4 separate regions of the Mus musculus genome follow, and regions 1, 3 and 4 are each reported to be linked to region 2. Evidence: microRNA targets listed by miRTarBase, many of them from high-throughput screens and not tested one by one. Region 2 holds a microRNA gene; each other region holds the end of a gene's coding sequence.

The links. The annotated mature microRNA mmu-miR-466f-3p reads CAUACACACACACAUACACAC and lies in region 2 at 3,467-3,487, shown strand. An mRNA with a match to its seed (bases 2 to 7 or 8) in the 3' UTR can be bound and repressed. Matches are read on the target gene's strand: a 7mer-m8 pairs with bases 2 to 8, a 7mer-A1 pairs with bases 2 to 7 and ends in A, and an 8mer does both.
Region 1: the mRNA of Ndufc1 is a reported target of mmu-miR-466f-3p. The part of its 3' UTR that is shown has no 7-base or 8-base seed match.
Region 3: the mRNA of Ptprk is a reported target of mmu-miR-466f-3p. Seed matches in the 3' UTR shown: 7mer-m8 at 930-936, 8mer at 1,257-1,264 and 8mer at 1,327-1,334.
Region 4: miRTarBase lists Prl5a1 as a target of mmu-miR-466f-3p. Seed matches in the 3' UTR shown: 7mer-m8 at 1,317-1,323.

What each region holds. Positions count from the first base shown.
Region 1 is chr3:51,401,379-51,408,506 of GRCm38, reverse strand. Ndufc1 (NADH:ubiquinone oxidoreductase subunit C1) reads left to right here. Exons shown (of 4, transcript NM_025523.1): 2 at 259-362; 3 at 1,095-1,171; 4 at 2,888-3,028. The coding sequence ends at 1,154. It also overlaps the pseudogene Gm9442. Among named protein-coding and RNA genes, the nearest start is that of Ndufc1, 4.0 kb to the left of the region's middle.
Region 2 is chr2:10,465,263-10,472,390 of GRCm38, forward strand. It overlaps Mir466f-2 (microRNA 466f-2), which reads left to right and starts at 3,413; the gene lies at 3,413-3,506. The region is part of intron 10 of Sfmbt2 (Scm-like with four mbt domains 2); the gene reads left to right. It overlaps Mir466m (microRNA 466m), which reads left to right and starts at 1,401; the gene lies at 1,401-1,484. It overlaps Mir466f-1 (microRNA 466f-1), which reads left to right and starts at 1,682; the gene lies at 1,682-1,775. It also overlaps Mir669f, Mir669e, Mir669b, Mir669d, Mir669l and Mir669d-2, and 2 more genes.
Region 3 is chr10:28,595,077-28,602,204 of GRCm38, forward strand. It overlaps Ptprk (protein tyrosine phosphatase, receptor type, K), which reads left to right. Exons shown (of 32, transcript NM_008983.2): 32 at 726-2,321. The coding sequence ends at 779. Among named protein-coding and RNA genes, the nearest start is that of Themis, 70 kb to the right of the region's middle.
Region 4 is chr13:28,150,251-28,157,378 of GRCm38, forward strand. Prl5a1 (prolactin family 5, subfamily a, member 1) reads left to right here. Exons shown (of 5, transcript NM_023746.4): 5 at 867-1,345. The coding sequence ends at 1,052. Among named protein-coding and RNA genes, the nearest start is that of Prl5a1, 11 kb to the left of the region's middle.

The sequences.
Region 1 (7,128 bases), not on the chromosome of region 2:
CCGAACAAATTACTTAGGTTCTTTGAACTATGTTTCCTTGACTCTTTAAATTGGGGACGAACAGATAGAGGACAAATGACAACAAAGCCGTAGTGGAGCGCGCCTGGAATCCCAGCCCGGTGGAAGTGGAGACAGGCAATCAGGAATTCAGGGCCAGCCCGCACTACAAGAACCTCTATCTCAAAAATTACATCACTAGTATATGTTAGATATTCCTCGCAGACATCAATAAAACACATATTCTCTTTCCTTTTTCAGCTTCAACACGGTCGAAGTTCTATGTCCGGGAGCCAGTCAATGCCAAACCTAACTGGTTGGCAGTTGGACTGTCCGTGGGCGCCTCGGTTTTCATGTGGATTTATGTGAGTACCGTACTCACCGAGTCCCCTGGAGCTGAAGTTACAGACATTTCTGAGCTGCTTGTTGTTGGTCCTGGGGACCAAACTTGGGTCCTTTGCAAGCAGTACATGCTCTTAACTGCCAAGCCATCTCTGCGGCTCCAAGTTCATCTACATTTTTGAAAGTTTTTCCTGATGGAAGGCTTAATTGCTGCGGAGATCATTAAGGATTGAAATTAGGTCTTTGATTCCCAAGAATCTTATCATTGCATTAGTCATTGTTCTAGTTACACAGTCTGTCAGACTGTGGTTCTAAGAAAGTAGCTGCTCTCTGACTTCTAATTAACATACACAGAGGTGAGGGTTGGTCATTTAATCACAGTGTGAGGCTTCTAAGGTTGGAAGGACAGCATACTGTATTTAGACATTGCATACACACACACACACACACACACACACACACACAGAGGTACACAAAAGTATAGCATATACTTATCAGCCAGCCTACAACACACTCAACAGCTAGAGTGTCACTTCTTATAATTCCATATGCTTTCCACTGTATCATTCTCAAATTTAATGTCAGGCTGTGGCCAACAAATTATTCCACTAATAATTTTTGAATTTGAATTTCTTACCTTTTTAGTTGTTTTAATCCACCCAATTTCTCTCATGAAACATAAGGATCTCTACTTGGTTTCTTGGTCTTTAAGCTGCTGGAAGCTCACATTTCTAATTTTAACCATTATCTTGTAGCTCATCCAAACACACAATGAAGATGTTTTGGAGTATAAAAGAAGAAATGGATTGGAATAAACTTTGGAAATAATACAGTAAGTACAGTTATAGAGGACATAGATTATGGAAGTTTATCTGTGTGTTTGTGAATGAGGCAGGGTCCCACTCCAAGGACACATGCCTTTTTTAGTTCTAGCACTAGAGGGCTAGAGGGAGGCAGGTCTCTCTGAGGCCATCCTGGTTTAAGTAGTGAGTTCTAGGACATCCAGGGCTAAGTAAAGAGACCCTGCATCAAAAGAGAGACTGAGTCTCACTGCATAGCCTTGAACGCATTATATAGACTAGGATCCACCTGCCTCTGCCTCCGAAGTGCTGAGATTTAAGGAGTGTGCCTGCAGGGTGACACCAGTACTGGATGAGGCCATGCAAACCTGTAATGCGAGTACTGCAGAAACTGTGGCAAGGAGATGCTGAATCTGAGGCTAGCCTGGTCTGCACATCAAGACCCAGTCCCAAACAAAGACAGCAGGGAAATCAACAGTAACCACACCACATTGAGTCACATCTTCTTCACTGGTACTTTACGCTTTGTTTCATAGCACTTGGGACAAGCTGGCATCATTTGCGTGTGCTTCCTAATGTCTGTTTGCTGTTCTTATACTTGAACGTGACTTTCTTCTGTATTAATGTTCACGTTCTCAAACTGTCCTGAATGCCCAGCCATCTTAGGAGTTTAGTATTTGTAGGACAAATGACTGTATAGAGGCAGCGGATTCAGGATTTTTTTTTCTGCGTGGCCATGTTATGATTGTCACTACAGCTAGCATCCACTGAGGAGCTCAGGTAAAACCTAATATGAATGATTTAAGAGAGAAGATTTGTGAGTATGTTTGTGCACGCGTGTGTCACACAAAGCATATATATATCACTTAAAGTATATGCTTTATTTCTGAAAATTATTTGAAAGGAGTTCTTGATAAAGTGAAATCCCTCGTTACAATTAATCGTATCTTCTAGACTGAGGAGTTAGCTCAGTGGTTAAAGCAACGCCACATAAGCCTGAGGACCAGAGCTCAGATGCTCAGGAGGCATAGCATCCACGTGGAATTCCAAAACTCTGGAAGTGGACAGAGGATTCCCAGGATAAGATGGCTAATCATATTAGCCACTGGGGAGCTCTGGGGCCAATCAAGAAACCCTGCCTCAATGAATAAGGGGAAAAGCCATTGATAGACACCCCCAGCATCCGCCTGGGGCCTTCCTGTTGCTGTGCACACATGCAGACATGCACATGCACCACACACAAAATATGTCAGTTTCCATGGGTTACACTGATAAAAATACCTTGTATCTGCTAGATAATAAACATAGTAATCACAACACACATTTTCTTTATCTAAGAACTCTGAAATTTAACACTTTAGAATTTATTGTCCAAGTCTTCTGCTGCTTTTTTATACCACTTTGCCCATTTCAGTACTTATGCTATGGATCTAAAATTAAGTACTGAGGGTTTGTTTTTTGGTTTTTTTTTTTTTTTTTTTTGAGACAGGGTTTCTCTGTGTAGCCCTGGCTGTCCTGGAACTCACTTTGTAGACCAGGCTGGTCTCGAACTCAGAAATCCGCCTGCCTCTGCCTCCCGAGTGCTGGGATTAAAGGTGTGCGCCACCAAGCCCGGCTCTGATATTATTTAATAGATATATTTTCTAGATTTTTTTTCTGATGCTTTAAGATGAATTATTCAGAGATGTCAGTTTTAAGATTATCTGATCAGTCCCTTGGTTGGTTGTTGTTTTTCCCTCTTCTTGTAGGTCAGCTTCATGTGATGATCACAGTCCTTCCTCTGGATTCACCCTCAGTGACGGATGTGAGAAAAGAGTTACATGCGAATATGAGTCAGTCAACACGTTTTGCATGGTTAAGTTAAAGAAATAAAAATACTCGCGCTCCTCATGTGTAGACGGAGTCACTGGTCAGTGCTGATGGACTCTTACTTGTTTTGTTTTGTTTTGTTTCCAAGACAGGGTTTCTCTGTGTAGCCCTGACTGTCCTGGAACTCACTTTGTAGACCAGGCTGGTCTCGAACTCAGAAATCCGCCTGCCTCTGCCTCCCAAGTGCTGGGATTAAAGGCGTTCACCACCATGCCCAGCTAGCACAGAATTCTTGAAGCCCTGGGTTTAATCACATGAATGAAAATTGTAAAAAGGCTAGAGAGTAGATGTACTTTAAAATGATTTATTATCTAAGCCTTCCTTGCACAGTGTCTTTGGATGTCATTCTGGACATAAATTCAAAATTACAGTATTTGAGATTAGATATACAAATGCTATGAAAAATCAAAAATAATACCAACTTTCCTTATGTCAGTTTGGAGTCCTGATAGAGTGAGTAGTAAAACTTGACAGATTATAGACCAATCTCATGTAAATGCAGTAACTAGAGAAAGATCTATGATAGGAAGAAAGACAATTATTAGGGTCCAAGAATTGCCGAAAAAATAATACCCTAGCCTCAAATAGCATGCAAAAGTAGAGAGTGTTAGCTGAATTTCCCACATGCAGGGGTCTCCCATGGAGATCCCTGGTGGACTTGTAGGCCCGGCTTTTATTGTCAGTTAGGGGAATGCTCTTAGGGATTGGTTCTAATGTTTTGATTTAATTGGGAATCTTTGTGTCCAAATCCTGAAGGTCCTTGTCCCCAATTGTTTTTTGATTGATCAATAAAGATGCCAGCGGCCAATGGCTAGGCAAAGGAAGACAGGGTGGAACCTTTAGATTTTTGTTTTTTTGTTTTTTCCAGACAGGGTTTCTCTGTGTAGCCTTGGCTGTCCTGGAACTCACTCTGTAGACCAGGCTGGCCTTGAACTCGGAGATCCACCTGCCTCCCAAATGCTAGGATTAAAGGTGTGTGCCGCCACGCCCAGCTACCTTTAGATTGGGCCTGGGGTAGCAGGGGAAGGTTTAAGAGTGCCCAGCCTTTGAGGTAGCCAAGCCATTTTAAAATTAACTGGTGTGTGTGTGTGTGTGTGTGTGTGTGTGTGTGTGTGTGTGTGTGTGTGTGTGTGTGTGTGTCTTCTGGTGAGTGCACACGTACGACCTGCCAGGAGCCAAAGCAGTGTGCCTGAACTGGCCTCTACAGAACTCTAGGGAGGAGTGTGTGCCCCTTTACCTTGGTGGGTTAGCTCTCTCTGGGCGCTCTGACTGAGTCTACAATTCCTCAGGCTCTGGAGACCTCCCTGGGGGATTGATTAGTCACTCTAGCTACCTGTTCTTTTTGTTTTGTTTTGTTTTGTTTTGTTTTGTTTTGTTTTGTTTTGTTTTGTTTTGTTTTTGGAGACGGTTTCTCTGTATAGCCCTGGCTATCCTGGAACTCACTTTGTAGACCAGGCTGGCCTCCAACTCAGAAATCCGCCTGCCTCTGCCTCCTGAGTGCCCAGCTTTCTAGCTACCTATTCTTACTTCAGACCAGATGACAACAAGGTGTTCTCAGATCAACTACATGCAGCTGTGTTTGGCTGACCACTGGTTCCAGCATCCAGGTTCTCATTTCTGGGAAACAGAAACTTGGGCCCGAGTCTCCCAAACTGCCAGTTTGCAGTCTGTCATGGAGTCAGCCTGGCTCTGGCTAATTTTGTCCTCTCAACTCCAATATAGGCATATATGTTAGACTCCATAGCAAAGGGAGTTAAAATTGCAGGTGAAGCTAGGGTTGCCAGTAGTCTATCCTTGAGGTAAAATTACCCTGGAGTATTCAGTTGAGCCTAGTGTCATGACAAGGGTCTTTCTAAGTGGATGTATGAAGTCTAACCACTGGAGTGTGTGCTATTCTGTTTAAGTTTTGTACAAATGACCAATCTAGGGCCTTACACGTGTCGCACAAGCACCCCCTTAGCTCTGTCTTCACCATTTCCGGGTTTGAAGGAGATCAAGAGCCAAGAAATATCAAGGAACAACGTGAATGTTCCTGGTGAAAGTAAGACGCACCCATAAAACTTCTAAGGTAATAAATGTGTAGTGTTTCAGGTTGCTTCATTTGTTAGAGCACCTATAAGAAACTGGTGGGATCACATAGAAATTGAGGCCAAAAAGTCACTTAACTCGCCCTACGGCTGCTCTGAAAAGCCATCTTTGCGCTGTTCCCAGGTCATGCAGCCACTTTCGCTGCCCACCGACTCCTCTAATGCGGACTCCGGCAGCTTTCTCGCCAGAGTCCTCGAACTCGACTAATTTCTTACTCGCAGCATCAGACCACCAGCATGCCCCATCAAGTCAGACGCGGCAGTGGACACCAGCTCTGAGACCACCACCAAGGACTTGAAGGAGGAGGGCGTTGTAGAGGAGGCAGAGAATGGTACCTGCCAATAGGAACGCTCTAAATGAGGAAAATGGTGAGCAGGAGGCAGACAACGAGGTAGATGAAGAAGAGGAGGAAGGGGAGGAGGAGGAGGAGAGGAGGAGGAAGGTGACGGGGAGGAAGAGGATGGGATGAAGATGAGGAAGCTGAGGCTCCGACGGGCAAGCGGGTAGCTGAGTCTGATGAGGATAATGATGTCGACGCCAAGAAGCAGAAGACTAAGGAGGATGACTAGACAGCAAAAGGAAAAGCTAACCTTACACACTGCGACCAGTTCACGTGGTCACCTTAGAGCAGAGAAGCACAGCAGGCAGTGGCACCCACAGGTGACATGCGCTCTCCACGCCCCCACCAAAACCACAACATGAACTGGCAACGTGGGAAATAAAAAGAATCAGAACTTCCCAGACCCTGCTTTTTTTTTTCTTAAAAATACTTTAAAAGGAAAATGTGTTGGTATTTTTTATTTACATTTTATATTTGGGTACATATTGTTAGGGGTCAGCTATTTTTAACGATAACGGGTGATCAAACAAGCCTTCAGAGCGTTTTCTGTCCTACTTCGGACTTTACTTGTGGTGTGACCATGTTCATTATAATCTCAAAGGAGAAAAAAAACCTAGTTAAAACAACAACAAGCAATCTTATTCGGAGCACTCCAGTAACTTTCTTTTCTTTTCTTTTCTTTTTTTTTAAGATTTATTTATTATTATAAGTACACTGTAGCTGTCTTCAGATGCACCAGAAGAGGGCGTCAGATCTCATTACGGATGGTTGTGAGCCACCATGTGGTTGCTGGGTTTTGAACTCAAGAGCAGTCCGTGCTCTTAACCACTGAGCCATCTCTCCAGCCCTCCAGTAACTTTCTGTGTGTGTACCTAGCTGTACTATAAGTAGTTGGTTTGTATAAGATGGTTTTAAAAGGCCAAAGATAAAAAGGTTTTTTCCTTTTTTTTTTTTTTTTTTGTCTATGAAGTTGCTGTTTATTTTATTTTATTTTGGTTTTTCAAGACAGGGTTGCTCTGTAGCCCTGGCTGTCCTGGAACTCACTCTGTAGACCAGGCTGGCCTTGAACTCAGAGATCCACCTGCCTCTATCTCTCAAGTGCTCAGATTAAAAGCATGCACCACCACTGCCCGGCTGTTTTTTGGTTTTTGGTTTTTTTTGGTTTTTTTGGCCTGTTTGATGTATGTGTGAAATTATGTCCAACAATAAACCAGAATTTTATCTTGCGGAGTTATTTTTAAAAAAAAAAGTCAGTTAACTCCAAATTAGTAGCACTTGTCAAATAAATAAAATAAAATGAAAAATGGGCACTTTAAAAACCTTATTGCTGGCCAGGCGTGGTGGCACATGCCTTTAATACCAGCACTCGGGAGGCAGTGGCAGGCGGGTTTCTGAGTTCGAGCCAGCCTGGTCTACAAAGTGAATTCCAGGACAGCCAGAGCTATACAGAGAAACCCTGTTTCCAAACAACCAAAAAAAAAAAAATGCTGGGCTGGAGAGATGTCTCAGCTGTTAAGAACACTAACAGCTCTTCCAGAGGTCCTGAGTTCAAATCCCAGCAACCACATGGTGGCTCACAACCATCCTTAACAAGATCTGACTCCCTCTTCTGGATTGTCTGAAGACAGCTACAGTGTACTTACATATAATAAATAAATAAATCTTTAAAAAAGCAACAACAACACAAGCCCT
Region 2 (7,128 bases):
AGTTTTAGAGATGCTGCAGTACTGGGCCACCAAGGATATGCATGTGTGTATAGTTGTGTGCATATTCATTTTTCTATATGAATATGCATATACACGCATGCACACACACTCACAGGAATGGCCAGAGCTATGTCTCAGGTAGGAGGTGAATATTCTTGCCAGTGTCAGGAGGCTACAGAGTTCAAATTCATGCTTAACTTCATGAAGAGTTAGAGATCAGCATGAGATTCATGTGATGCCCACCAAGAAAGTGCATGTGTGCATAGTTGTGTGCATATTCACTTCTCTATGTGAATATGCATATGCACGCATGCACACACGAATGGCACTCATATATCCTTTTGAATGATATGTGACTCAGAGCTTTAGAGCTTATGCAGTACCAGGTCAGAGCTATGTCTCAGTTAGGAGGTGAAATCCCTTGCCAGAGTCAGGAGGTCCTGGAGTTCAAATTCATGTTTAACTTCATGATGAGTTAGAGATCAGCATGCGATTCATGTGATGCCCACCAAAAATGTGCATGTGTGTATAGTTGTGTGCATATTCATTTCTCTATATGAATATGCATATACACACATGTACACACATGTACACACCCACACCCACCCACCCACACACACCACTTAGAGTAATGGCATCATATATCCTTTTGAATAATATGTGACTCAGAGCTTTAGAGCTTATGCAGTACTGGGCCAGTGTGTTGTTTCACTCGTTAGCTGAATACTTTTGCCACAGTCAGTATGTTTCAGAGTTCAAATTCATGGTTAAATTCATGATGAGTTAGAGATCAGCCTGGGATTCATGTCATGCCCCCCATGTATGTGCATGTGTTTATACTTGTGTGTGCATGTACATGTGTGCATATCAATATATGTACACATACACATACAGACGCACACACATACATGCAGGAATGTCACTTGTCAATCCATTTGAATGATATGTGACGTAGAGCTTTGGAGATTATGTAGTATTGAGTGAGGGTGAGGCTTCAAATACCAGGCTAAAATCCTTGCCAGAGTCAGGAGGATCAGGAGTTGAAATTCATGCTTAACTTCATCAAGAGTTAGGGATCAGCCTGTATCATGTGATGCAGCTTATGTATATACGTGTGTGTTCATGTGCATGTGTGTATAATATAAATATAAATATACATACACACTAACATAGACATGCACGCGTGGAAAAACACACATGAATGGCACTTATCAATCCATTTGTATGATATGTAAATTAGATCTTTCAATACTATGTAATACTGGGCCAGTGAGACATCTCACTCACTAAGTAAAAACGCTTGCCAGAGTCAGGAGAATAAAGAGTTCAAATTCATAATTAACTTCATGAAGATTTAGAAATCATCCTGGGATTTATGTGATGGCCCCTATGTATGTGCCTGTGTGTGTTCTTGTGTGTGCATGTGCATGTGTGTATATGAATATACATATACATACACACATACACACGCACGTACACACACACAAACACACACATACAGGAATGGCACTTATCAATCCATTTGAATGGTATGTGACTTAGAGTTTTAGAGATTATGCAATAGGGGACAGTGAATGTTCTCACTCACCAGGTGTAAACGATTGACAGAGTCAGGAGGATCAGAAGTTCAAATTCATGCTTACCTTCAGTTAGAGATCATCCTGGTATTCATATGTATGTGCATGTGTGTTTACGTGTGTGTGCATGTGCATGTGTGTATATGAATATACATACACATACACACACACATACACACACATGCAACACACACATATGAATGACACTCACTGATCACTTTTAATGATATGTGACTTATAGTTTTAGAGATTATACAGTACTGGGCCAGTGAATGGTCTCACTCAGAAGGTGAAAATGCTTGCCAGAATCAGGAGAATCAGGAATTCAAATTCATGCTCAACTTCCTGAGAATTTAGAGATTAGTCTGTGATTCATGTGATGCCCCCCATGTATGTGCCTGTGTGTATAGTTGTGTGTGCATGTGCATGTGTGTATATGAATATACATATACATACACACACACGTATAAACGCAAGCACAAACACACACAGAGGAATGGCACTCGTTGATCCATTTGAATGATATGTGACTTAGAGCTTTAGAGATTATGTAGTATTGGGCCACTGAAACTTTTCATTCACCAGGGAAGGCTTGCCAGAGCATCAGTATCCAGAGTTCAAAATCATGCTTAACTTCATAATGAGTTAAAGATCAGCCTGGGATTCATGGGCTGTACCCTATATATGGGCAGGTGTGTGTCTTGTGTGTGCATGTTCATTTGTGTATATGAATATGAATATACACACACTTACACACTCATGCACACACACACACATCCATTTGAATGATATGTGTCTTAGAGCTTGAGAGTTTAGGCAGGACAGTGCCAGGGAGAGATCTCACTCACCAGGTAACAATGTTTGCCATACTCAGGAGGATTAGGAGATGAAATTCATGCTTAATTTCATGATGAGTTAGACATCAGCCTAGAATTCATGGGATGTCCCCCATGAATGTATGTGCATGTGTATATAGTTTTGTGTGCATGTGCATGTGTGTCTATTAATGTACATATACATACACACAAACATATACACGCATGCGCAGATACAGACACAGAAATGGCTTTCATCGATCCATTTGTATAATATGTAAATTTACTGGGCCAGTGAGACATCTCACTCACCAGGCAAAAACATTTCTCACAGTCAGGAGAATCAGGAGTTCAAATTCATAATAACTTCATGATGAGTTAGAGATCAGCCTTGTGTTAATGTGATGACCCCTATGTATGTGCATGTGTGTATATTTATGTGTGCATGAAAATGTATGTATATATGAATATACATATACATACATACCCACACAAACATGCACACACACACAAACACACCCACAATTGCCACTTACCAATCCATGTGAATGATATGCAACCTAGAGGTTAGAGATTGAGTATTCCTTTGCCCAAAAGAGCTCTCTCTCTCTCACCAGGTGAAAATGCTTGCAGAGTAAGGAAGAACAGCAGTAAAAATTTATGCTTAATTTCATGATGAGTTAGAGATCAGCCCGGGATTTGTGTGTTGCTTGCTCTATATGTGTGTATACTTGTGTGTGCATGTATATGTGTGTATATGAATATACATATACATACACACCCATATACACACGCATGCATGCACACACACAAATACATATACACAGGAATGGCACTCATCGATCCATTTGAATGATATGTGACTTAGAGTCTTATAGATTATGCAGTAGTGTGTCAATGAACGGTCTCACTCACCAGGTGAAAATGGTTGACAGAGTCAGGAGGATCAGGAGTTCAAATTCATGATTAACTTCAGTTAGAGATCATCCTGGCATTCATGTGATGCCACCCATGTATGTGAATGTGTGTTTACGTGTGTGTGCATGTGCATGTGTGTATATGAATATATGTATACATACACACACACATACACACTCATGTAACACACACACACACACACACACGAATGGCACTCATTTATCCATTTGAATGATATGTGACGTAGAACTATAGAGATTATGTAGTACTGGGCCAGTGAGTGCTCTCACTTTCTAGTTGAAAATGCTTGCCAGAATCAGGAGAATCAGGAGTTCAAATTCATGCTTACATTCATGAGGATTTAGAGATCAAACTGTGAATCATGTTTTGCCCCCCATGTTTGTGCATGTGCGTATAGTTGTGTGTGCATGTATATGTGTGTATATGAATATACATATACATACACACCCATATATACACGCATTCATATGAACACATCAACACACACGCAGGAATGGTATTCATCGATTTATTTTATTGATATGTGATTTAGAGCTTTAGAAATTATGTAGTACTGGGCCAATGAAACTTTTTACTCACCAGATATAAACGATTGGTATAGTCAGAAAGATCTGGAGTTCAAATTCATGCTTAACTTCATAATGAGTTAGAGATCAGCCTGGTATTCCTGGGATGTACCCCGTGTATGTGCATGGGTGTATAGTTTTGTGTGCATTTGCCTGTTTGTATATGAATATACATATCCATACATACAATCATATACAGGCACACAAAGACACACAGACATGAATGGCACTCAGTGATTCATTTGAATGATATGTCACCTCAAGTTTTGGAGGTTATGCAGTACTTGGCCTGAGAGGGGTCTCAGTCAGCAGGTGATAATGTTTACCAGAGTCAGTAGGCCCAGGGCCTGGCAAACGCAGAAGTGGATGCTCACAGTCAGCTATTGGATGGATCACAGAGCCCACATTGGAGGAGCTAGAGAAAGTACCCAAGGAGCTGAGGGGATCTGCAACCCTATAGGTGGAACAACAATATGAACTAACCAGTACGCCCCGGAGCTTGTATCTCTAGCTGCATATGTATCAGAAGATGGCCTAGTCGGCCATCAGTGGAAAGAGAGGCCCATTGGTCGTGCAAACTTTATATGCCTCAGTACAGGGGAACGCCAGGTCCAAGAAGTGGGAGTGGGTGGGTAGGGGAGTTGGGGGGGGAAGGGTATGGGGGACTTTTGGGATAACACTGGAAATGTAAATGAAGAAAATACCTAATAATAAAAGAGTTCAATTTTATCCTTAACTTCACGATGAGTTAGAGAGGAGCCTGAGATTTTTGTGATGATCCCGTGATGTATGTGTGTATATTAATATACATATACATAAACTCATACATACACATACATGTGACACCCACATATGAATGGCACTCATCGATCCATTGGAATTATTTGTGACTTAGAGCTTTAGAGATTATGTAGTACTTGGCCACTGAAAGTTTTGATTCACCAGGTAAAAACCCTTGCCAGAGTCATCAGTATCTGGAGTTCAAATTCATGTTTAACTTCATGAAGAATTTGGGATCAGCCTGGATTCATGTGATGTCTCCCCTTGAATGTGCATATGTGTATACATAAGTGTGTTCATGTGTATATGTGTATATGAATATACATATACATACACACAAACATACATGCATGCATGGACACACACACACATGAATGGCACTCATTGATCCATTTGTATGATATATAATTTAGAGCTTTAAATATTATGTAGTACTGGGTCAGTAATAGTCTCACTCATAAGGTAAAAACACTTGCCAGAGTCAGGTGAAGAGAGAGTTCAAATACAAAATTTACTTCATGAAGAGATAGAAATCAGACTGGGATGTTTCTTATGTATGTGCATGTGTGCATATATGTATGTGTGCATGTTAATATATGCATATAAATATACACATATAAACTAACCAACACAACATGCACACACACAGAGACACACACAAATACACACACACACACACAAACTCAAAATTGATACTCATCTATCCATTTGAATGATATGTAACTTAATGTTTTAGAGCTATGTATAAATGGGTCAAGGAGAAGTCTCACTCACTAGGTGAAACACTTGCCAGAGTCAGGAGGATCAGGAGTTCAAATTCATGCTTAATTTCACAACGATTTAGAGATCAGTATGCAATTGATGTGATGCACACCAAGAATGTGCATGTGTTAGAGTTGTGTGCATATTCACTTCTCTATATGAATATGCATATACACACATGCACACACAGTAATGCCACTCATATATCCTTTGAAATGATATGTGCCATAGAGCTTTAGCGCTTATGCGGTAGTGATCCAGAGCTATGTCTCAGTTAGGAGGTGAAACGCTTGCCAGAGTCTGGAGGATCTGGAGTTCAAATTCATGTTTAACTTCATGATGAGTTAGAGTTCATCATGCGATTCATGTGATGCCCAACAAGAATGTGCATGTGTGTATAGCTGTGTGCATATTCACTTCTCTATATGAATATGCACATACACGCAAGCACACACAGGAATGGCACTCATATATCCTTTTGAATGGTATGTGACTTAGAACTTTAGAGCTTATGCAGTACTGATCAAGAGCTATGTCTCAGTTAGGAGGTTAAGTACTCTTGCCAGAGTCAGGAGGATGAGGAGTTCAAATTCATATTAAATTCATGATGAGGTAGCAATCAGTCTGGGATTCATGTGATGTCCCCCGTTTATGTGCATGTGTGCAGAAGTGTATGCATGTACATGTGTTTATGTGAATATACATATACATACACACATATACACACACATGCAAACATACATGTAGGAATGGTACTCATCGATGCATTTTAATGATATGTGACTTAGACCTTTGGAGATTATGTATGACAGGGCCAGTGTCAATTCTCACACACCTGGTGAAAACCCTTGTTAGAGTCAGGAGGTATAGGAGTTGAAAATCATGCTTAACTTCATGAGGAGTAAGAGATCATCCTGGATTCATGTGATGCCCCCTATATATGTGCATGTGTGTATACTTGTGTGTGCATGTATATGTGTCTATATGAATATACATATACATACACACCCATATACACACGCATGCACGGAAACACAAAAACATAAACATAAACACAGGAATGGCACTCATTGATCCATTTGAATGATATGTGACTTAGAGTCTTATAGATTATGCAGTAGTGTGTCAATGAACGGTCTCACTCACCAGGTGAAAGTTGTTGACAGAGTCAGGAGGATCAGGAGTTCATATTCATGCTCAATTTCAGTTAGTGATCATCCAGACATTCATGTTATGCCCCTCATGTATGTGCATGTGTGTTTACGTGTGTGTGCATGTGCATGTGTGTATATGAATATATGTATACATACACACACACATACACACGCACGCAACACACACACACACACACACACACGACACTCATTTATTCATTTGAATGATATGTGACTTAGAGTTTTAGAGATTATGTAGTACTGGGCCAGTGAGTGCTCTCACTCACAAGGTGGAAATCTTGCCAGAGTCAGGAGGATCAGGAGTCGAAATTCATTCTCAACTTCATGTTGAGTCCGGGATCAGCTTCTGATTCATGTGATGCCCCCAGTGTATGTGCCTGTGTGTATATGTATGTGTGCATGTGCATGTGTGTATATGAGTATACATATACATACGCACATACCCATACAAGCATGCACACAAACCCAAAACTGCCACTCATCGATCTATTTGAATGATATGTGTCTTAGAGTC
Region 3 (7,128 bases), not on the chromosome of region 2:
TCTCTCTCTTTCTCTCTCTCTTTCTCCCTCACTTTTATCTAAAGAGATCATTTGGAATATGGAGGAAAGCACAGGCACACACCAGCAGCAATACAAAACAGAAAGATATTGAAATAATCTAACAAGTAATCCAGATAATCCACATGGTAGATTTTTGCGTGATATAAAAAGACTCAGGATGTGTAACATACAACATGTAAAACAGAAAATCCTCTTGAGAACTCCGATTTTTTATTTTTCTGAGACGATTACTATGTCAATCGTGTACTCTTCCCCTCCCCCATGCCAAGACAGGGTTTCTCTGTGTAGCTCTGGCTGTTCTAGAACTCACTCTGTAGACCATGCTGGCCTTGAACTCAGAGACACACCTTGTCTGGTTGCTGGGATTAAAGTGTGGTCCACCACAGCCTGGTTCTTTACCTTTTTGTAAGCTGGGAAACATTCTTAACTATTTTAATCCTATAAAAATCCTTGGCACTATATTAAATGATAGGAAATTTAGGGCAAAGATAAAACATCTTTTTACTGTTTCTTTTTTTTCTTAAAAGGGATCATTAGACTTGAGAATAAAATATATATGGCCAGATGTTCCTGTTATATGCAAAATAAGTAATTTACGACTTTTAAATAATCTAAATTGGGTGTCAAGAACTCACACAGATGCTATTACTCACCATTAGCCTTTTGCTAACTCCTTTCATCCCTTCTGTTCTGACATGATGCAGGAGCAGTATCGTTTTTGCTATGATGTGGCGTTAGAGTACCTGGAGTCCTCATAGTTCGCTGAGACTATTTGCAGAGCATCCAAGCAGAAATCCATTCGTCTGTTGAGCCAGCAGCTGTTGTACCTGTTACTGCACCGAGAGATTTTAATGTACGGGGTGGGAGGCTTTTACATTGGAGAGGCAAATGTATTTTTCTTATAAAGTTGTGTATCTTAATAAAAAGGACTTGATCAGTTTCTGTGACTGTATGAGAGCATCCACATTTCATGCCACCTAATTTTATCTTTAATCAGAGGCAGATTTGGATGAGAAGTGGTCTGTGTCTGTCCAGTGACCACACAGCCTTTTCTCTCCTGCTTTCTGTAGAGCAGCTACCACACATTGCATGCACTTTGTAAGTGGCATTTCCCTCTCTTTTTAAAATAAAAACTGTGGGACCTTAAGAATGGGGAAGGAAACAAGCTGTGCAAAGTCATGGTAAATTTCATTTTATATGTTCCAAGTGTACCAGATTCTATATAAATGTGTGTGTGTGTATATATATATATATATATATATATATATATATATATATATATACATACATACATATATACATATGTGTGTATATATACATACATACATACATATATATGGCTTATTTTCTTTTAATGTGCAATGATGGCTGGATCATTTAAAGTTCCTTTTAGAAAATAACATAAGCCAAAGACTGAAGTGTACATATGTCTATATGGAAGAAGCACATTATATTTATTGGTTACTTACATTACTTTTTTGATGGATAAAATACTACCGCCACACAATCATTTTTGTTGTTGTTGTTGTTTTAGGAGAGTTAGCTAAAAATCAATGGTAAACAATTTTTTGTAGATTATTTTTTGTATGTTTAGTGTAAGTAAAGGATAAACTTTTTATTCATAAACCAGGAAGCAATGTTTTCTGTAGTGGTTCCCTTGTGTACATGCCTGTGAATTAAATTTATGTAAAACATCTTGGCAATTGTCTTTGAATAGAGGACCAAATTAAAACATTTCACTGAAAATGTAGTTCTCCCCCAGTTTCATTAGGTAAATGATGGCTTGATGGTTGCCTATGAGAAATCTGCACAGCAGAGGACATTGCAGGTAGCTTGCCCAATGTGGAATATTACCTTTAAGCATTGTTTAAACATTAAAGAGTTAGTCTCTGCCTATGGCCTGACACTGTTCAGGATCACCAGATGACAACATTGCTGCTTGCAGGATCAAGTTTTAGCAGAGTATAAACTGCCACCGTAGCGGCGCAGTGTTCTTTTTGATGTTTCCAAGCACAAGCTTTGGGTTTCTACAATAGACAGTGCAAATAGATGTGTGGTCTCATTCATGTGCCCCACATAGCTGTAGTGTCACATCCTCATCAGCTTGCAGTTTGTGATTAACTGAAGCATTATGGTGTCCTCTTCCTACATTGCCTGTCTATGACATGGTGCTTATAAAGATTTAATGAGAGTAAGAGTGAAATAAAGTTTTTATAATTGTAACATTTACTGATTGAACATCATTTTCTCTTCTAAATTTTCATGCCTTTATTCCCAAATAAATAATCTCTCTATGACTCAATATGAGAATGTCACAAAAATCCTACTGAAAGCATGATTGACATCCAGGCTATAATATGGTATATTTTTTGTTCCCTAAACTGTATTACATAGTTCAGGTCAGTGAAGGAAGAAATAGCTAAGGGTTTAGTGTCTATTATTATTATTATTATTATTATTATTAATCATTATCATTATTTTATTTTATTCTCCCTCTTGTCATAATTTGTCTTAGCTGCATTCTGCCAAATATCTAAGAAAAAAACACTTTAACAGAGCAAGAATTTATTTTAGCTCTCATCATGAAGGTTTCAGTCCCCAGTCCCTTGGCCTCCTTGCTCTAGGACTGTGGCAAAGACGCTGATGAGCAGGTCAGGATGGTACAGCAGTTCATCTCCAGATAGCTGGGAAACAGAGAGAGTTCTCTCCTAGAGCAATGCTATTTCTTCTTTTGGATGGAAAGTGGAAAGGCAAGCAGGAACATGTGAAAGAGAGAATATTCTAAGTCAGGGTTGCTAAGAAGAAACACCTTGACAAGGTCATGAAAGCCCCACATAGTCCAAACACCACTGCCTGTGCTCTGCCTCCTAATCCAAGTTTTGGTATATAGATCAAATGTAGCAGAGACACCTGACTAAAAATTTAAAAATTCACAAACTCATGAAGGGGTTGTTTACCTGGCAATGATAGCTGTATTACCACTGCATGTGATTCTGATTTGCGCCTCAAGAATTTGTTTCTCCTCATAGAGCTGCATCAAACTAACAGCAAATACAGCTATTCACAGCTATACAGTAAACCTTATAGGCTCTAACATTCAATAAAATAACAAATGAAGTACTTTTATCCTACATCAATAAATAAAACATACCATGTTTGCTTTGTTTGGGTATTACAGTAGCCAGTTTGTCAGAAGACAACGTGAGAGGCTTAACTCAGACTGTATAGTTTTGAAAACCTCCCTTGGTAGACCCATGTGTGGTCATGTCCTTCCCAAGAATGTCCTTCTGGAGAGGTACCTTGTAGAGTTCTGGAATATAAGCCCTGGAATACTTTGAATTGGAAATGTCTCCAAAGTGTGTGTGTGTGTGTGTGTGTGTGTGTGTGTGTGTGTGTGTGTGTGTGTGTGTGTGTGTGTGATAGACTTGGTGTCATACTGATGGGCTATGAGGAAATGAGTCACCATGAATGTCTTAATCCATTAACCTAGTAATAGATTCATAATCTGGTAACATCATTGAGAGATGGTAGAAATTAAGAGTTGGGGATCTAAGAAGATGACACAGCCATTAAAATACCTGCCATGCAAGCATGAAGACCTGGTTGGATCCCTGAAGCTCACTGGTCAGTGTTACTATCTGAATTGGTAAGCTCTAGGTTCTCTGAAAAGCTGTGTCCAAAACTAAGGTGGGGAGAAATTGAGGAAGATATATTATGTTGACAGACACAGAGAGACTAATAGTTTTTCAGTGGAAGACATGCATGACTAAGAGCATGCCCCAGGAAGGGCATATCTTGTCCCTGTCCCCCGACTGTCACTTTGCTTGTACTCTATAGCAGCCATGAGGTAAGCAACTTTGCTCCATGGTACATGTCCTACCATGATATTCAGCCCCACCACACCTTAGTAAAACCTTAGGAAGCAAAATAAACCTTTTTTCTGTTAAGTTCCTCTAATCAGCCATGTTGTCATGCAACATGCATCTCCTAGGTAATCCTTTCTGTATCCCTCTAGCAGTTTCTCTTGAAATATCAAGTCATAAGGTTGAATCTGACAACCTTTCTCCTGAATGTCCTTTCTAGAAAGAGGTTGGAAACTGGTGATACACAGACACAGTTATGCCCCTCAATACTGTTAGAAGCACATAAGCAACTGGGAATGTACACATTTTAACCAAGTACTTTGAAAATGCGTTAGTGTTCTAGCCGGAGCTACCTATGCAACCCTTTTCTTGTAACAAAAGGACTTCAGATAAAGGCAGTGTACCCAATTGATCTCCGGTATTGAGAGGGAAACAAGGAGACCCTTGCCTGGACATAGACAGGCTACACTGGCTTCTCACCAATGTTGCTCATTAAACATTTGTCTGTTGAGACCCTTCCAGGTTCCAGACACAAGTTTTGAAATTTGGACTCCAATAACTGTTCCTTATCAAATATGTTTCACTCCCAGAAAATAGAATGACAGTTCCCAGAACCTTCAACTACCATGAATGATAAGATGCAGGAGAATGTACCTGTAAATTCAACTGGAAGTCAGGCATGGTCTTGATACTTAAACTAAAAATATTTAGGGCCTAACAGTTGCCCATTTGTATTTAATTTCAATGAGCTTTGACAGTGATTCATTCTTAACAAAATAGTCAGTAATCTGTCACATACCCAAGTTAAGTGTAGTTAGCAGAATATACTCATAAAATATTACCAGAGACTTCATACAAACTTTACAGCCTTCCTAGGTTTGTGGCAGTGTTATAGGAAAGACTGATTTCATGTAGAATCTGTGTATGATTTATTTATTGCTATATTAGGTCAAGTGAAAAGATAGGTTATCATTATTCACTCTTGACTAATAATCTCTACTTATCTACTATTTCATAGGGTCTCCCTACAGCTTAAGGAGGACAGAGGAATAAATGACATCTGCAACTTTCCACAGCACTAGCCTAGTCAAATGTCTGCTGAGTTTCAGAATAGTATCCCCAGAGTCAAAAGGAAAAGTTCTTTCTTGGGATCTACTGTACGAGATATATATATCTTATATGTAAGATATATATTCTAGAATATAAATTGTCCCAAGATCAATAGAAATGTGATAGATACATAGATACATAACATTTTAGCCCTTCCATCCTCCACAGTGATTTGAAATGCTAACCTGGAAGATAGAAAATACCAAGGAGACCCTGCCGCATCAAATCCTAAAAGAAAGTAATGGATGGATTTCTAAACCACTGAAATAAACATAAGGTCTCTACAGAATATCTCAAAGCTCTGTCTTTAATGTTAAGATCTGTCCAGGGAGAGAAGCAGGGACACATCTTTATGACAGCTAACACCTTTCAGAATGCACTTGTCAATTACACAAGTAATATTCAGCCCCAAAACTTAATATAAAATGGTACTGCCAAATTAGCTGTTTAGGTTTTATTTATCTTGACTCTTCCCTGAGTATATAGAATTGAGACCAAGAAAGCTTTGAAAAAGGAATTGTACTTAGAGACATGTATTTAGTGTACCCAGATGTGGGAATAAGAAATTCGAATTTGAATTGGATTCTTAAATAGAAATTAGATTGTTCAGGCAGGGAAAGGCCGTGTTAAGCTTTGCTTGTGGAGGTATGGAGCCACACAGTCCAACTGGAAAAGTAGAGAAAGCATGAGAGCCATGTTCCCTTGAGTTGCTGAAAAGAGCAGTACACTCATAGTTACTGACTGGAAGATACTTCAGGGTAGAGACTAGAACCCTATTTTGTTTTGGTTTCAGGGTTTTATATGACCACTCTGGACATATTGCAGCAGATGATGTCACCTTTTGCTTTTTACTAGCAAAATTCATAAAGCAACAACAACACTACCCTGAATTTTCCACTCTATGCTGAGAACTGGATACTACCCACTCTGAACCCCACCCCCACCCCCAGTTCTGCTATTAGAAGCACAGATGCAGGAGTCATGGTGATTGGCAACAGTCACTTGACAAGACAGAAGGAACAGTGTCAGGAAGATGACAAGTGCCTCTTGGACTTAGAAATATGACTACAACTGAAGGATACAGCACGTGCCCCTCAAGCATGCACTGCATAGGAACACAGATCCATTCTGATGCATCTCATTGTTCAAGACAATGCCAAAGGAAAAAAATTCAATTTCTAAGATTTGTTAAAGTTAACAAGAAACATAGGTTTTTAAAAGCAAAATACAAAGCCTTCCGTGCCTACTGGATAACAAAAGTCTCTGAAGGCTGCATCTAGTGTGGGAGGGCTTTAGGCTCATGGTCAGTAGCCCACTGTAACATTGCACTGTTTTGTACTTTATACATTTGAATTCAAATAGGAGTTTAGTTGTCCCAAATGAAGCTATGCCTTGATTTTGTTGTTCTATGTTCTCATTGGACTTATTTTTTAAAACACATTTATCGAGTGGAAACTAGGAAGAGATGGCATTAGCCGAAGCAGGAAGAAGAGGAAGGTATCTGAGAGGGAATATAGTCAAAGTACATGATGTTTTTGTATGAAGATATCTTAATGACAGCTGTTCTTTACTCAGTGTACCCTGAAAAATAAAACATGGGGCTGGGTGGTGGTGGTTCTGTTGGGAAAGTGCTTGCCATTCAAGCATGTGGACCTCAGTTAGAATCTGAGTGTTCACATGATATCTAGGGATGGTCATAGTGATGATGGAATTTTGGATCTTTCTGGCCAGCTGGCCTAGCAATATCAATGAGATTCAAGTTCAGTAGAAAAACCCAATCTCAAAGAAGAAGATGGAATACTACTGAAGAAGACAGTGAGCACGACCTACGACCTCCATATAAAAGCCTACATACATTCTCTTGGGAACAGTTCATTGTTTTTCTCTTTTAGATGAGTATGTAAAGTTTCATCCGTTGTGAAAGTTACTCTTACTGAATTTAGATCTATTCATTCCGCCCAACAAAAGAGAAATCTAGCTAGTAAAATCTTTCCCTTTAAGGCTTTTGTTAGAAAGTCAGTCATACTACTAATAAACATGAAGCCACCCATGTAAATCAACAATCTGAGAACTCTGTAGCAGCCAGAGAAATTTGGGACATATAAGACAATATAGTTTCATCAGATGACAAGAA
Region 4 (7,128 bases), not on the chromosome of region 2:
AAATTTAGCCAGGTAATCTCATAAACAATCTAGGGACTAATAGGACTGTGGCAGCTCAAAAGTGTTTCCACTCAGCACCCCACAACACAGAGCTCTCCTGATGCATTAATGATTGCTAGAAATAGCATGGACAGTGCCTTTCCTGTGCAGTCTAAGTATCCCGACGATTTCACCACAGTCATCCATACATTAGAAGAATTTTAACCCACCAGGTGCAATCCTCATCAGTTCTGTAGCTTTGTGTCCATAAATTATGGAAAACGAATATTGTTGAAATAGAGGAAAGCAAAATTGTCAATTAGCCGGGTGGTGGTGGTGCAGACCTTTAATCCCAGCACTTGGGAGGCAGAGGCAGGGGCAGGCGGATTTCTGAGTTCGAGGCCAGCCTGGTCTACAAAGTGAGTTCCAGGACAGCCAGGGCTACACAGAGAGACCCTGTCTCAAAAAACAAAAACAAAACCAAAAACCAAAAAAAAAAAAAAAAAAAAGAGTAGTAAACTACAAATGGCACCTCAGGGATGACATGGAAAACATGGAAGCCTCCTCACAAGAGAACTGATTATAGATTCTTCCATATCCCTTGGTCAAAACCATGTCCATAGTCAAGAAGCAATTCTGTCTCCTCCTAGAATGATATATTTCATCTTGGATCAACTATATTACAAAAATATATGCATAGTTCTGTCTAGTTTTAAGATAACTAACAAATTGGTAGTACCCTAGTCTACATACATGAAACACGTGTATTTCTTTAAGATTTATATTCATAATATTCTTCAAAATATCATTCAAATTGTTTAAATAATGAAGCTCAATAAATATTAATAATGTGAATAATAACTGGCTGACTTTTATTTGGTAAATAGGTTAATCCTGACCTTAAGAAAAATGAAGACTACCCTGCCTGGTCAGGAGAGCCATATGTACAGCAATCAAAAAGGAGAGTTCAACTTTTTGGTTTGCATAGTTTGTTTTTCTGCTTGAACAATGATGCACAGAAGGTTTCTGATTTCATCAGTATCCTGAGAGACCAAATTGTGCCTAATCAATGAAAAGCTCTCATCCTTCCTATCTATTTCTGGGGCAGTCCATACTGATCCAATCCTTAAAAAGTTCTTTAAGTTTTATAATATTTATGTGTGATTAAATCTAAAGGGTCACTTCTTTTCAAATTTTTATGTTTAATTAAATATAATTACACCACTTCTCCTTCCCTCTACCCACTGCTTGCTACCCATTGTCCCCTGACTCATTTTACTCTTTATAAAATGAATTTTTATTAATTATAATTCCACATGCATAATGTATTATTGCTATGTGTATGTATAAATAAATGAATAAATATATAAATGTAGCCCGTCTTTATTGTTGCTTTATATATTGCTTTCTTTATTGTATTCTTTTTAGGGTTGACAACATAATATTGGAGAACCATTTTTCCCATTTCTTTCTTCATTTCACCCACATACTGATATTCCCTCTCTAGTACTCCTCTCCATCCCACCATAGCCTCTTTGATCTTTCCAGTTTAATGTAGTTGTTCCAGGTAATAAACTCACTTCTGAAATTTGAAGCTAAGTACCATAGATGGGAGATAAGATACAGTGTTTGTCTTTCTGAGTTTGGGTTACGTCACTGACACTTTAGAAATGTCAGTGTCTAACAAACTTAATTTTTCATCATTTCTTTTGTTCATTTAACAATAAAAAATTAAACCTGTTCAAATTTGTTACCAAAAATAGTTTTTAAAAGATGATTCAATTTCACTTAGAATCATAATAAGTTAATATAAGTTATTATAATCAAGGTTTTGATCCTACAAAATAAACTGAAATCTCAAGTATTTTTATGAAAGCCAGCCATTGACTATGAACCATTTTCACAGAAAAATAACGAAAATGCAAATATTATAAAGTGTCTATCTTCAAATACCATAAATAGAATAAAGAAAAAGAAAAGATCTACTGAATGGGCTTAACTAGAATGCAAGATATGGAGCACAGCATTGGAATCTGAAAGATCAATACAAATTATTCCATCTGAAAATTACAATAACATACTAAAAAAATTGCAGCAGACTGAATAGTCAAACAAGAAAATATTCGACATTCACACTACTGTGCTTCAAAAGGGAAAAAATTATATATATACATATTTATAGTGTTGCCTGACCACTCAAAGACGGGAAAGCTGAAAATCTTTTAACTTTAGTAGAAGTTAAAACCTTAAAGATTCAAAACTCTTTGCGACTCTAGTTAGGGTAAATCCAGTGGTGTCCGCACATATGATAAACACAGTCAAATTTCATGAAAAAATTCAATTACTTAAAATAGACATGAGGGGATGTTGCCTTACCCACACAAAGACAAAAAAAAAAGCAAAACAAAAAAACAAATATCTGTGTATCTGTTCTAAATCCATGACATCTATAATCAATTAAGTAGCATGCACTAAAAGAAAAAGTCTATTATAAATATGCCTAGATAGACTATCTTTCTGAAATGAAATAAACAATTTCACAAACATAAGGCTTCTTTGGCAGTATTAAACCTAACTGAAAGAACTCATGTATGCTAAGATATCACTGTGGAATTCAACTTTTGCCATCAGCTGACCTATTCTTAAGAATTGCTCAAAGAAACAATAGGAAAAAAAGATTTTATCCACACAGAAAAGATAGATTCTCTGCAGTATTCTATCAGATAGTAAAAGAACAGAGAGAGTAAATGGTTCTCACTGTATTCCATAAAACAGAAAGGAAATAAACTCTCTAGAACTCACTCTATGAAAACAGTATTATCCTATTACCAAAGTCATATAAAGACACAACAAAAAGAAAAAAACTATAGAATTTTTGATAACGATGTAACATGGAGATTAAGCAGCTCATTAATGAATGATGAGTGGGTCAAGGAGAAAATTTAAAAAAAAAATCCTGGAATTAAATGAAAATGAAAATTCAATGCAACAAAACCTGATATTATTGATAGTTCATTGATGAGATCTTAGCATTTGAACTTCTTTTGTTAGTTCTAGGTCTGATATAGACCTATTAGACTGGCACAGAAGAGAACGTGTACAGGCAACTTGGAATTAGAAGTTAGATCTAACTTGAATAGAATGATGTCAGGTGGACAGAGGAGAGTGGGTTGATATATAAGATTTGCCTCCTGGTCCAAGCCTAGAGTGTGAGGGTAGATCTGGCTAGGTGAAAAGGTCACATGTGGTTTCAGAGGGGCCTATGGACTAGGTGATGGGTAGATAAGGTCCTGCAAAAGCCTAGGCATCATTTAGAGCCCAGTCAAGAGAGGCCAGAATAGGCCCAGGCACTAGATGCGTGACCCTGGCTATATATGGCAGTTTGAGGAAGGCAAGTAGATGGGAGCATCAAGAATACATACCATACTATACCCTAGAGAACGATGTAGGGTATATAGCAAGGGAGATAGTTTGGATGCAATCTAGAAGTAACATGTGCTGTTAATAGGTAGTTTAAAACATGAAAACAAAAATAATTGAAAATTCTAAAATCTTGACTTATTTACCCACATGTCCCTCAACTGAAGAATGGATACAGAAAATGTGGCTCACTTACACAATGGACTAATATGCAGCTATTAAAAATAACGACATCACTGAGCCACCTTGGGCGCGAACTCGGCAGATGGTCCCACCATATCAAGAGGACTGTCCACACCATAGGCACCCTAGTATACCCAGGATCTTGGGATCACTGGTGAGTGGAATGCAACATCTGTTCCAAAACAACCGGGAGGGACTTGTGCCAGCAGGTACAAAAATACAGGAAACCTAACCAACCAGCACTTGGGGTTCATTCCAGTAGGGACCAGCCCTGGGCCACCTTGGCCACAAACTGTATAGATGGTCCCACTGTCCCCAGAGGACTCTCCATGCCATAGGTGCCCTAGCATGCCCAGGATCTTAGAAACACTGAAGAGAGTCTGCCTCCAGAGAAGGTTCTGACTGCGGAACTAAGGTAAGACAGCCATCTTGTATACTGAGTCTTTAAGAGACCAGTCCACGCAGGGGAGCGCACAGGCCACAGAAGCAACAGACAGGGTCCCTTCATGCCTTCATCCTCAGCCAGGAGGCAGAGCTGAGACCCAGACCTCTGGGCACCAGAGGAAAGTTGGCCTCCAGGGAGGTCTCTGACTAGGGGACTCAGGTGAGAGCGCCATCTCCTTTACCGGGTTTCTCAGAGACCAATCCAAGCAGAAGAGCATGCTGGCCGCAGAAGCAACAGAGATTCTGGACAGGGTCCCTTCGGGCCTTCATCTTCAGCTAGGGGGCAGATCTGAAAACCAGACCTCTGTGCACCTTCCCTGCAAAAGGAGGGTTTGACCACAGAAAGTGTTCTGGCCACTGGGACTCAGGAGAGAGTTGTACTCCCAGGAGTGCTGACAGAGGCTAACAGAATCACAGGAGGAACAAGCTCCAGCCAGAGACAGCTAGAACATATAACACCAGAGATTATCAGATGGGGAAAGGCAAACATAAGAATCTTACTAACAGAAACCAAGATTACCCAGCATCAAAAAAAAGTAGTACTCCCACCACACAGCAAGTCCTGGATACCCCAACATACCTGAAAAGCAAGATTCAGATTTAAAATCATATCTCATGATGCTGGCAGAGGATTTTAAGAAGGGCATTAATAACTCAAAGGAATACAGGGGAACACAACTAAACAGGTAGAAGGCCTTAAAGAGAAAACACAAACCAATAGACTTAAAGACTTATAGAAAAACATAACCAATCAGGTGATGGAATTGAATAAAACCATCCAAGATCTAAAAATGGAAATAGAAAAAAATAAAGAAAACCCAAAGGGAGACAATTCTGGAGATAGAAATCCTAGGAAAGAAATCAGAAACCATGAATGTGAGCATCAGCAACAGAATACCAGAGATGGAAGAGAGAATCAAAGAAAATGCAAAAATCCAAAAAGATCCTAACCCAAAACATCCAGGAAATCCAAGACACAATAAGAAGACCAAAACTAAGTATAATAGGTATAGATGAGAATCAAGACTTTCAACCTAAAGGACCAGTAAATATCTTCAACAAAATTATAGAAAAAAACTTCCCTAACCTAAAGAAAGAGATTCCCATGAACATACAAGAAGTCTACAGAACTACAAATAGATTGGACCAGAAAAGAAATTCATCCCAACACATAATAATCAGAACAACAAAACACTAAATAAAGATAGAATATTAAAAGCAGAAAGGGAAAAAAGGTCAAGTAACATATAAAGGAAGACCTATTAGAATTACACCAGACTTCTCATCAGAGATTATGAAAGCCAAAAGATCCTGGACAGATGTTATACAGACCCTAAGAGAACACAAATGTTAGCTACTATACCCACCAATACACTCAATTACAATAGACGAAGAAAGCAAAGTAATCCATGACAAAACCAAATTCACACAATATCTTTCCAGGAATCCAGCACTAAAAAGGATAATAAAAAGAAAACTCCAACACAATAAGGAAAACGCTGCCCTAGAAAAAGCAAGAAAGTAATCCTTCAACAAACCTAAAGGAAGATAGCCGCAAGAACAGAATTCCAACTCTAACAACAAAAATAACAGGAAGTAACAATTACTATTTCTTAATATCTCTTACTATCAATGGACTCAATTCCCCATTAAAAAGACACAGGCTAACAGAATGGCTACATAAACAGGACCCAACTTATTGCTGGATACAGGAGACCCACCTCAGGGACAAAGACAGATACTGCCTCAGAGTAAAAGATGCTAAAACAATTTTCCAAGCAATTGGTCCAAAGAAACAAGCTGCAGTAGCCATTCTAATACCGAATAAAATCTACTTCCAACCCAAAATTATCAAAAAAAGACAAGGAGGGGCACTTCATAATCAGCAAAGGTAAAATCTTCCAAGATGAACTCTCAATTCTGAATATCTATGTTCCAAAGACAACACCATTCACATTCATTAAGGAAATTATTGTAAAGCTCAAAGCACACATTGCAATTAACACAATAGTTGGAGACTTCAATACCCCACTCCCATCAATGGACAGATTCTGGAAACTAATAGAAGTTATGAAACAAATGGATTTAATAGATATCTACAGAACATTTTATCCTAAAAGAAAAGGATATACATTCTTCTCAGCACCTCATGGTACCTTCTCCAAAATTGACTATATAATTGGTGACAAAACAGGCCTCAACAAATACAAGAAGATTGAAATTATCCCATGCATCCTATCTGATCACTATGGACTAAGGCTGATCTTCAATAACAACATAAATGATAAAAAGCCAATATTCACATGGAAACTGAACAACACTCTACTCAATGATAACTTGGTCAAGGAAAAAATAAGGAAAGAAATTAAAGACTTTTTAGAGGTTAATGAAAATGAACCCACAACATACCCAAACTTATGAGACACATTGGAAGCAGTCCTAAGAGGAAAACTCATAGCTCTGAGTGCTGCAAAAGAGAGAGAGAGAGAGAGAGAGAGAGAGAGAGAGAGAGAGAGAGAGAGAGAGAGAATACACTAGCAGCTTAATAGCACACCTAAAAGCTCTAGAACAAAAGAAAGCAAATTTATCCAAAAGGAGTAGACTGCAGGAAATAATCAAACTCAGGGCTAAAATCAAGCAAGTAGGAACAAAACAACTATACAAAGAATCAACCAAACAAGGAACTGGATTTTTGAGAAAATCAACAAGATAAATAAATCCTTATCCAGACTAACTAGAGAGCACAGGGGAGACATAACAACGGAACATGAGGAAATCCAAAACATCTCAGACCCTACTACAAAAGGCTATTCTCAACAAAACTGGAAAACCTGGATGAAATGGACAACTTCCTAGACAAATACCAGGTACCAAAGTTAAATCAGGATCAGATTAACGATCTAAACAGTCCCATTTCCCCTAAAGAAATAGAAGCAGTCATTAATAGTCTCCTAACAAAAAAAAAAAAAAAAAAAAAGCCCAGGACCAGATGGGTTTCGTGCAAAATTCTATCAGACCTTCAAAGAAGGCCTAATTCCAATTCTCCCCAAACTATTCCATATAATAGAAACAGAAGATACTCTACCAAATTCATTCTACAAA